Linked DNA regions of Schizosaccharomyces pombe. The gene in region 1 interacts genetically with each later gene. Each region holds a gene or a part of one and is shown in the gene's direction. Other genes may lie near its edges.

Region 1 (7,882 bases):
GAGTTGAGCCTATTTCATCGTATTTCAAAGGCTGGAGGAACTTTTCGAGCTGAGAATCAATTTTTTCTTGAGAATCAAATAATGATGATTCTTTATTAATCATGATCTTCTCTGTACTTATCGGTACAAATGCATGAGAACAATGTGAAATCGCAATACTATAGATTAGTAACTTGAAATTTGTTTTAATTTACTTACCCATTGTTTGATTCATAAAAAGATACAATATCTTTGAATTCTCCTCGATTGAGCCAAGACATGCAATCTTTTGTTTCTACGGTATTTAAAAACACGCCAGCTTTAGTTGCTTCTCCTTTTGATAATTGAAAGCGTTCCATTTTTGTAATAATTTGTACGACTTTTTCTTCGTCTTTGCACTCTGTTTTTACGTTACCACTTAAAAATAACTTTATTACAAACCTTTCTGAACGTTGATAAGCTTGATAAAACTCTCATGAAGTCTGTTAAAAAATTTACAAACAAAAGACTCACAACATATTTTCTCTTCACTTCCAGGGTTAATTGTAAATGAAAATATCTCCTTTTCAACCGCGTCATCCTCTAATATTGACTTGCATTGTGACGAAATAATCAGGTAAACAGTAAATGGAACTTTCATTGATACAAGTGAGAAAATATAAGTTTTCTAAAATATTAGTTTATTTCTTTAGATAAGTTTTAAACACTCACCATCATTTCCAAAAAACTGTCTGCTTCTTTGTCCACTCCAGCTTGTAAAGAAACCACAGTAGGTTTCAATTGACAATCAAAGTCAGCTCCTTTAAAATGTTCAATTTCGAAATTGACTTTCTTGTAGCAGTTTTCATTGAAAAGAGCACTTGCCTTCTGTTAGCTATTTTAATTTAAAAATTATATGTCTGCGTACCGCTTATAGCATAATGTTGATATCGCGAAGAAAATTAAATTTTTAAGAGTAAAGTCAGACTTAGTTTGCAGAATTTCCTCTTTGTATGAATTCATTTGTCATTTATACTTAGAAGTAAAGGGTATTTGATAAGTTGATATCTATATATGGTAATTTTGTGAACGCGTCGAACGCGTCTTAAGTGTACGTATATTACAGTCCCACCTGTGGTTTTCCAACACTTTAAACTACACTAAAATGGCTTACATAGATAAATGGAATGCGAAAAGCATGTTTTACGATGAAGACATTTGGTAGCTTATGAAGTAATGTAAAAGCCTTTTGTTAAATTAAATGTCTTTTTACATTTACAAAGCTAAAATGTTTGTTTTTTTATTTACTATAGTTTGCTAATTATAAAAATATAGTACGCTTTTGGGTAGAATGGACGCTATTTGAAGCTAAGGATTCAAGAAATTCGCTTATCCCTTTGGTAAAAAAATTTTGGCCTCAACAAACGAATTTAACACTAAATAATTTATAAATGTAGAATAGATCATTTAAAAAAATATTATTTTGCATTCTTATTAGATATTTAAAAAAGAAAATTATGAGTAAACATTTAAAAGTCAACAAACAATTAGACAAATATTATATGATAGAGGAGTTTCCAGAATAAATAGCATGAATCTATTTCAGTTTGGAAACGTAAAATAAAATTTCGAGATCTTTTATAGATTTCTAGTATCTCAACTTATAAAAGCTCAAGAAGATTTAGTAGATCCAAACTCTAGGACCTCGATCCAAAAACGGTTATTTCTTAAAACAGCAGCCACACATACATTTTCATTATAAGCAACTTGCCAGATTATATCCAAATCAGTCAATAGGTCTCTTACTAACTTTCCGGAACGAATGTCCCATAACTGTAGCGTACTATGGCTTCCACTGACAACTTTGCTCTCGTCGTGTTGAAAAAATATGTGTCCCAAAGGACATTTTAAAATATCTCGACAACTTCCGGTGTTTAGATCCCAAACTCTCAACGATGTATCAGGAGGAGCAGAAGCGGATACCAAGATATTTTGGTTAAATGTAACTTGACTTACCAAATTCGAATGACCATGAAGGGTCTGTAGAAGTTCTCCAGACTCAAGGTTCCAAATACGAATTTTAGCATCCGTACCAGCGCTGATACATTGTTGACGAGAAGGATTAATTGTGACACTGTATACTCTCCCGACGTGTCCCCGAAGAACATGTAAACAAACGCCAGTAGATGCCTTCCATACTCTAAGAGTACCATCATAACTGGCACTGACAATCAAATCTCCAAGACAAGCAACTTCACGTACCGAGTCCGTATGACCACGTAATGTTCGGATGTAAAACGGATTGGTCGTAGCTGAAGTAAAGTCATTATTCTGATCAGGATTTTCATTTACATTAACAAATGGTGGATCGTCAAGGCATGGAAGACTCCATAAACGGATCGTACAATCCCTTGAACTTGAAATTATATACGGAGGCATTGAATTAGCATCATTTGAAGCTGGTCTGTTTTCTTTTTCCACATCATCAGTATCAGTAGTACTTTGATTGCCTTGAACTATTTTGATACAACGGATTGTTGACGTGTGTCCATAAAACACCTGTTTACATTCACCGGTTCTAAGGTCCCAGACTCTTACTGTCCTGTCTGTGGAGCCAGTAACCAAAGTATCCCCAACGTATTCAAAAGTCCAAACATCACCTTCATGCTCTTCTAAACTGCGTATCAGGACACCTGTTTTCGTGTCATATATATTAATTCTAGGACTGCAGGTGCTAACAATTATTTTGTCATCATCAAACTGAAGTTTGGTAATAAGACGAACTCCATGAATTGGGAATGAACATCGCTTAATTTTCTCCGGGGCATGGAGCCATCTTTCACGAAGATTAAAATGTCTAAAATAGACCCGCTTCATTATCGCACAGGCTGACAAAGATTGTTCTAAACACATCGTACGGATTTTACTATCAATTGAATCCCAAAAGAAACCATCTTTTAAAAAGAGACTTTTCCAAAGTTCTTCGTTGGACGATACCAACTTATACCAGTGATGCGAAACTTGCGAAACTGCACACAATGAAGGTGCATCTAAATGCGTAAGCACTAAATTTGTAATCTCAGCCGGAAATCCAGTTAAAAAGTTCTTTTGAAAGATAGGAAGCAGAATTTTGTGAATATTTTGAACAGCATGTTTTCCACATCGAGAAAGAAGATGAAAAAGTAAGTATTGACGAACACTTTCGGGTAATTTTTCGAAGGAAGAAATTAATTGTGCTAATTTCAAAACAGCATTTTTTTGAGAGCTCAAATGATTAGAAGGATGAATGCTAGGATTTTCTGAAGAAAAATCATATATGACAGGTTCATGCAAAGAATTATGTGAAGATGAAGATGAATGAGGGGGAAAAGATTGACGGGTTTTGGAATCGTTGCCGAGTAAATTAGGAGAAAAATAAGAGTAATTAACAGAATTATTTGGTGCATCAAGTGAGAATGTTGTTTCACTAGCGACTTCCTTACTGTCACAGTTGTTTGGGTAGAAAACGTTCGAGTAGTTAGTAGAAGGAAAAGTTTCATTCTTTTTATTCCCATCACTTTGAGAATTGAAGAGAAACCGCTTATTAGCATGCAAATTAGAGCTGAGACTAGAGTTACGGCGTTTAAGGCACTTTTCGCGATGCTCTGACGGCAGCTCACAACTCAAATGGGGCCGGTTAAGATCACAATGTAGATATAAAAGATTTTGCAAGTTTTCCAAATTTTCTTTATCAGATAAACATCGATTGTTAGTAAATATCATCGATTGCTGACTTCCCTTGCTATCAAATTGTAGACTAACACGACTAAGCTCCTCGGGAATTCTGGTCATTATATTATTTCCTTCCAGGAGATCTTTTTTAGTGGAACATGGAGAAAATCTCTCGACATTTGGCCGGGGAGAAGAGGAAACATCAATACTCGGTGATACCATAGTTGTCTCACCGAAAAATTCATTGGAATCTAAAACAGATAGGCTATCTTTTTTCTTCTCATTCATTTCAAGTAGTTTACAGACACTTAGTAGAAAAGTATTTGTCAAGTTCTTTTATGATGTTAGAGAACCTGGTTCAAGAATCGATACTGATGAATTTACTTAAAACAACTGCCCGTTGGGAAACATGTATATGAAATTATTTTGCAAATAGTTATCGTCTTAATGCATTAGAGCAATACTTTTTCTTGGTTTTTTTGAAGTTCAGCGAGATAGATCGTAAAGACCATAAACTCTTGGCAATGAATTTTAAATTCACTCTACGCAAGCGGAGGTGTAAGTAACACCAGAATAAGTAACAATTTTACTGTTGATTAAGAAAAGTTTTTATAGTTTATGGTAAATACGACTAAATCGCGACATAACAATAGTTCAATAAGAAAAGTTATATGACTTAGTTATGGCTCCTCAATATTATTTTTTTTTACATTATTTGCGATAGTGTTTTAATTGTATACCAGATATTAACCTCCTCAGCATTTTCAAATAAATTCTCTAAAGACAAAAACAATGAACACGTGAAGTATTCATATTATAAAATTGTCTTTTCCGTTGCGTTTTTGCAGCTAAAGAATGCAGACACAATAGTAGCTCGCGAATTTCATTACACGCCAATAAAGTTGGGAAAGAGATTACCCTCCCCTGTCATATTCTAAATGACACGGACACATATAATAATTTATTAATAAAATTTGAGCATGAGCGTAAAATGTAAAATGTCAGACTAAGATGGCGTTTCTAGTACATCATTTTCTTAGGCCGTTGAAAGAAATTTTTTGTCTCGTCAATGACATGCATCGGGTAATTTCGGCAGGCATTGGGCTATTATTCGACTTCTCTCCATTCAAAATTTGACTTAATCTCAGTATCCAAAGAAGCGTCAAATACGCTACCAAGATAAATAATTAAATTGTTATCCGTAAAAGTTCTTAGCATAGCAAACCGATAAACCGAGTGTAAACACGATATTAATTAATTAATATTATATCATATTTAATGAGCTGCAGAACATCATTTGCCGAAATGCACCGAGCCTCTTATATCTAGGATGATTTGTATGTACCAGATTACTTTCCCAAGAGATTATTAAATATATTTAATAGTATTAGGAGAAAATCAATATAACGTTGAGTCGAGCCAACGTATTTGTAAGTTAGGTATACAGGGATGTCATTAGGCTTACGTACACCGCGCAATTCAATTGCAAAAGGCCCAGGGGACCAAGAACTTCCTTATGATAAGAAAGCTAAAGCGATAAACAAAAATTAAATTACTTGGCTTGGAAATAATAATAATTTGCTTTGAAATGAATGATTGAACGCCCCGCGACCCCGGGACAGTATAAATTTTCCTGGGGTAGATCAAATTCACGCATTTAATTGGTTGAATTTATCAACTGACTTTTAAGTTCATTTTTAATTAAGTTATCAGCCAATGAATACAAAGCCGATAGCAAGGCAAGCAATGATTGGAGCGCAATAGTTGACTGTTTTGGCGCTAATTATTTCGGGTTTATGGTTAGAAATTTTCTGAAAAAATCAACGTTGAAAACTTACAGGCTTTCATGGTTAATTAGTGGCAAAACGCCACGGCTCTTAATCAAAAGATGGTGAAGTGCTTGAAAAAAGAAATGTATATAAAGCTGAGCTGATTTTTAGGGAAAAGCCGTGAGCTGAAATTAAACAATCAGAACCGCAAAAGGTAAAGACCATTATATTCTTTACCATCTTTCTTTTATTTTCTAGTATCAAGTTACTAGCATATCCTATCGTTTATAAAGTCAATCGTTAGATTCCTGTCAAATCTTTTAAATCTAAAAATGCTCTTTAACAACTTTCTTTGTTTTGCGGTTTCCGCCATTCCTTTGGTTTCAGCTATGCCTCTTGGTAATGCTCCCTATCACCATCACCATCATGCCGGTTTGAATGCTAGCAATATAACTGTTGGTGTCAATGTCACAAACACTACCGCTTTTTCAAAAAGAGACGGTGGTTTTCCTGACGGCGTATACGACTGCTCCTCTTTTCCTGATGATCAAAATGGCGTTGTCCGCCTTGATTACTTAGGTTTTGGAGGATGGTCTGGTGTTCAGAAGAATGATGGTAAATACGGAACAGCTTCTACATGCCAAGATAACACATACTGTTCCTATGCATGCAAGCCCGGAATGTCTAAGACCCAATGGCCGTCTGAGCAGCCTGACAATGGCGTTTCCGTTGGTGGTTTGTATTGCAAGAACGGTAAATTATATCTCACCCAGAAGGATAATTCTAATCTTTGTGAAGATGGAAAGGGTACTGCCTATGTTAAAAATACATTGAGTTCCAATGTCGCAATTTGCCGTACCGATTACCCCGGAACTGAGAACATGAATATCCCTACCAATATTGATGGTGGTTCAAAACAACCTCTTTCTGATGTTGATGAAGATTCATACTATAATTGGGGAGGAAAGAAGACATCCGCTCAATACTATGTTAATAAATCTGGCAGAAGTGCAGAAGATGTCTGTGTTTGGGGTAATGAGGGCGATGATTATGGCAATTGGGCTCCTATGAACTTCGGGTCTGGTTACACTGACGGCAAGACTTGGCTTTCTATGTCTTTCAATCCTTTATCATCTGCTAAACTTGATTACAATATCCGTATTAAATCTGATGGTGGGTCCCTTAGTGGTGATTGCTACTATGAAGACGGATCATTCCATGGTTCCACCGCTGACAGCAGTGGTTGTACAGTCTCTGTCACCGGAGGCAATGCCTACTTTGAGTTGTACTAAATTGCGTGTTAAAAGTGGATGCTTGGTCAAAAAAATTTGTTTATTAGAATTATTTTTGCATTCGTTTTACTTTTGTCATTCCCATTTTTATGCTTTATTTCGTTGTTGATTAGTTTTCGCATTTTTTTTCTGGTTTCATTTTTTTTATTTTTTTCATTTTTTTCATTTTTCTTCTGGATTCATTTTTTATTTTATTTTTGGGGTTCATCTTCTTCATTTCATTTTTTTGTCTATATTTCTTCTCTACATTTTGTTACATTTCTTAAAAACGCTCATTATTTATGCATTGCATCTACGAAAAAATAAATTTGTTTTTACTTAATTTTGTCCATCCTATCCAGTATCGTTAAAAATTTAAAAATTCCATGTATTGTTTTATTATAATGGTGCTGATAGTAGTAAAAAGCTGCAGAGTAACTAAATCTCACAGAATGCCTGGTAAACGACAACAGGTTCTGAAGTCGCAGAGATCGTTAATGGAAAATTTGCGGAAATAAAATAAACAAATCCAGGAGATATCGATGCTACATCTCCTTTGTCTCCATTCAATATGCCTGAACCCTCAGTAACAAGTAAAATGCTAGGGCCATTGATTCCGCGTATGCATTGTTTTTGACCAGGAGAAACCTTGGTTTGCAAAATGCTAAACTCTTCGATCGGGGGATCATATAACAGAGTTTTGCCAGATCCACAAGCTTTGGCAAATGGTACAGGTTGGGTAAGTTGGGATTTGGCATCCGCAGTCTGATAAGTGAGATTATTTACGAGAGTTTCTATGTCCTTAAACTTTGGCGTAAAGCCAAGACGGATAACGTTATCACTGGCAGCCATGCACTCAATTATATTTCCAGAAACATAAGCATGTGGATCTAAGGCACGAAGAAAAACGGCTTCTCCTGGATGTAATCGAACGTAGTTAAGAAAAGGAGTAACAAATAATCCGATGTCATCCGGAAATTGACTATTGAGATGAATAATTAAATCGCTAAATGCTTTTCCGCCGTATTCCGTTCCACCAAAGTTGTTAGCATCACTTTTTGCTAGTTGAACAAGCTGAGGAGTAAATTCTTGAATCCTTTTTTCGTCTTTGTGCATTAACTCATTAAATAAAGTTTCCAATGCTTTTCTCTCGTCTTGCTTCACGGTACCTTT
Region 2 (3,760 bases), 3.1 Mb from region 1:
AAAGGTATCTTATATTACCAAGGCTTAGGCTTTCGTTTGTTTATGCTATCAGTCGCTTGCTAATATTTGATTGGCTCTTCTTTCAGTAAACTAACAAAGCATTGGAGCTTTTATAAACTACGTCATTTAAGTAGGCGTGAACTAAATTATTGGACAGAATTGAGTTTCTTTCACTATGCATTGGAAATTCCTATAAATAGTCGATGAAGTCTGCGAAACAAGGGAGGTAAACAGACTTAGTGGGTATTAAAATGTTGGTCAATCTTCTGCCGTCTTGATTTAAAAGCACTTCTCTTTTACTATTGTAAGACGGAATATGCATGCAAGATCGCTTTAGTTGGTTGAATGTCTCTTTCTTTGTGTTGTGGTTTGTTCGTTTTTTTCTAATTTGGAATATTATAAGAAACGTTGTTTTCTTGCAACATTTTGAAATGGTCATTCAAAAAGCTGGATTCGGTACCACTTTTCTTTTTACCTTGTCTTCTAAGCTCTGTTAAATTTCTTGATGGGGTCCAGTTAAACCAACCCCCAAGTTGGTTTATGTGAGCCTTGTCTCTTTTTTGGATGAATAGTAGCTTAGATAGTGATAGTTATTATTATGACTGATGGAATCTACTTAAAAATGGATTCCATTTTTTGTCTACTGTAATTGAATTCTTTTTGGTACACTTTTTGGCTGCATTGTTATCCTTGAAAGCACTTACAATGTTTAAACTTTGCGAATGACTGAAACAGAAAAGAAATAAAACGACTGTACCTGAACTATTGTTGAAACAATATTAAAACGTATTCCTGAAACAGATTAAACTACATTAAATTTTGTTAATGAATTAAACGTGAAACTTGAAAGTTTGATGCGAAACAAAACCCGCAGTTTGTTTAAACGCTTATTTGTGATTAAAATTGATGAACCAGTTTAAACTATGAAAGTGTTTGAAAACGTGCTGAAACCATTCGTTAAACCCTGCAAACCAACATAAAAAAAATTGAAAATAAACAATAACCACAGCAAGCTAATTCAATTCCAACAATGGTATGTTGCATTGGTCTTCGGTTGTGCTGTGCTCCCTCTTTTTTTGAGCATAGTTAAAACCATTAATACTATTTAAACATTTCTCTTTAAAAAAGAGAAGAGAATAGCAACACATAGAATTTCCAAATTCAACATGCCTTCAAATTTGAAATCGCAAGGAACAGCTATTAATGAATGAAACGAGTTAAATTGAAATAAATCAAACACTATAAAGATTATTATTCTATTTCTTGCTTAAAACACACTTTAAGGAATTGAAATTTTTCACGTAAAATGTTGATGAACTGGCTTTAAATTTACATGCAAGTCTTGATTGTGAAATGATGCGTTGGAAGCATGAATTGGTATTTTCTTTTTTAAAAAAAGCAATGAAAAGTTTGAAAAAGGCAATAAAACTTGGAGGTGGTTGGACTTTGCCGATTTCACGAAGTTTTTCTTTGCTGTTTGAAACTCAACCAAATAAATTAAACAGTGGTAGCAGCCCCAATTAAACTGAAAATCTATCAGTTATATGTTCATGAATGTGTAAAAGCAGCAGAACAGACAGATCCCAGCATTTTTCCCTTCTCTTTGCACTACATTATGAGAGGGATAACTGATATTCTGTAATGTAGATCTGAGAAAACGAAGGCAAAGCTAATCCCGAATGTAAGGTTTAGGGAGCTACTTGTTTTCATCCTTTCGAACGTAAGGCTCATAAAGTATCATTAATTAAACGTAAGAATAATAAATTTCAAACAAATTAGTTGTTCGCTATACCTACTTTTGTTGTGCAGCATTCCCATCTTCTTATCAAGTTTCACTTGATAACCGCTTCGAAGATTCAGACTTCATCCTTCTTAAACCACTACCGCCATCGCATATATATATTTATATACAAAGCAAGTTTACATTATTGTAGCTTTTATTAAACTGCTCGTTCAATTCTACTAAAAAAGGGATCCACTGATTTTGTTACAAGACTGACCATTAAATTCATTGCTATGCAAACCAAAATTTTTGCACGTCTTGCTGGCATTGGTCGGGCTCGGTTTGTTGGTACGATGCCCGACAAGACCAAATTCATCAGTAAATCTGGAACGTATCCACAAGGTTTCAGCTTAAATGGTATTGCTTCCGGCGTAAAAGCCAATGGAAAAAAGGATTTAGCCATTTTATTTTCCTCTCGACCATGCAACGCCGCAGCCGTCTTTACTAAGAATGCATTTCAAGCTGCTCCAGTTCAAGTTTCACGCCAAACTCTGAACGGCTGTGGCGGTAAAGATATTCACTGTGTCGTGTTCAATAGCGGTTGCGCTAACGCTGTTACTGGTGAGGGCGGTTTGATGGATGCCCAACTCATTACCGCCGAAGCTGATAATTTGACTCGTCCACATTGGACTTCGTGGACTGAGAATTCAGAGGAATTTCCCTCGTCGTTGGTGATGTCGACTGGTGTTATTGGACAACGTTTGAAGTTAGACAAGATTCAAAGCGGTTTGGAACACGCGGTTGAAGACCTCGGGTCCACTCATGAATACTGGATGAGAGCAGCTGAGGCCATTTGCACTACGGATACTTTCCCTAAACTCGTTTCCCGTGAACTTAGTATTGCAGGCAAAGTCTACAGGATTGCAGGTTTTGCCAAGGGCGCAGGTATGATCAATCCCAACTTGGCCACTCTTTTAGGTTTGTTTGTTACAGATGCCCCAATCTCAGTTGATGCAGTCCGATCTATACTTCGTCATGCAATTAACAACAGTTTCAATTCTATCAGTATTGATGGTGATACGAGTACAAATGATACAATTGCCTTCCTTGCAAATGGAGCTGCTGGTGGATCCGAGATTACCAAGTCTTCCCCTGCATACAAGGAGATTCGTGATGCTGTAACGGATATTGCTCAACAACTTGCAAAGCTGGTTGTCCGTGACGGTGAGGGTGCTACGAAATTCGTTACTGTGCAAGTCAGAGGCGCTAGATCAGAGAAAGACGCTGCGTTGGTGGCATCAACCATTAGTAACTCTGCATTGGTGAAAACGGCATTCTTTGGTGAGGACGCTAACTGGGGTCGTATTTTGTGTGCCGTCGGTTATTCAGGTGCTGCTGTCAATCCTCCTGCTACGACCGTTAGTTTTATTCCTGCAGACGGAACTGAACCATTGAAGCTTTTAGTAAATGGTGAACCACAAAATGTCGATGAGACCCGTGCTAGCGAAATATTATCGCAAGACGAACTCACTGTAGACGTTGATCTTGGATGTGGTCCTTATGCCAAAACAAATTGGACTTGCGATTTTTCGTATGACTATGTTCGTATTAATGCTGATTATCGCAGTTAAAAAAGAACAGTGGTCAGTTACCAAATTAACCAAGAGTGAGCTCTACGCTTTGATACCAAGAAAGCTTCATGTTTTTACAGCTTTAAACTCTTCAATTCAATTTGATGAACATACACGACGTTCGTTTACAATACGTGTCTAACAGAAAAAAAGGATTGCTGAGATGCATTCATTAACAAAAAAGTATGTATAAAAAGCTTTGCTTGCTTATGGTAGAAGTTTGCAATTTTAAGCGAAAGTTCATTATGCATGTAACATCAATCATAGTATATCATAATAACATGAATCTTTTCATTCGATTGCCTGCCTTAATTGAAAGGAGTTCAAGCCAGGATTAAATAAGAAGTGCATGCTAAAAATCAGGAGGTTTGTATTCCTCAACAAATGTTTGTAGCTTATCCCCTGT

Evidence for each region. Genes that interact genetically often act in the same process or in processes that back each other up.
Region 2: mutations in psu2 (region 1) and aga1 together harm fitness more than expected from each alone (negative genetic interaction), as found in Schizosaccharomyces pombe (one large-scale study listed by BioGRID).

Annotation. Positions count from the first base shown.
Region 1 is NC_003423.3:3,465,418-3,473,299, reverse strand, and holds psu2 (beta-glucosidase Psu2), read left to right. Parts: upstream 1-5,482; 5' UTR 5,483-5,770; coding exon 5,771-6,730; 3' UTR 6,731-7,030; downstream 7,031-7,882. Other genes in the region: synaptonemal complex-associated protein hop1, read right to left, coding at 1-158, 199-439, 478-646, 691-838, 887-981; cullin 1 adaptor protein Pop1, read right to left, coding at 1,630-3,957; mpi1 (mannose-6-phosphate isomerase), read right to left, coding at 7,148-7,882.
Region 2 is NC_003423.3:336,395-340,154, reverse strand, and holds the start of aga1 (glutamate N-acetyltransferase), read left to right. Parts: upstream 1-1,874; 5' UTR 1,875-2,016; coding exon 2,017-3,354; 3' UTR 3,355-3,706; coding exon of another isoform or gene 3,707-3,760. Other genes in the region: mti2 (translation initiation factor IF-2Mt), read right to left, coding at 3,707-3,760.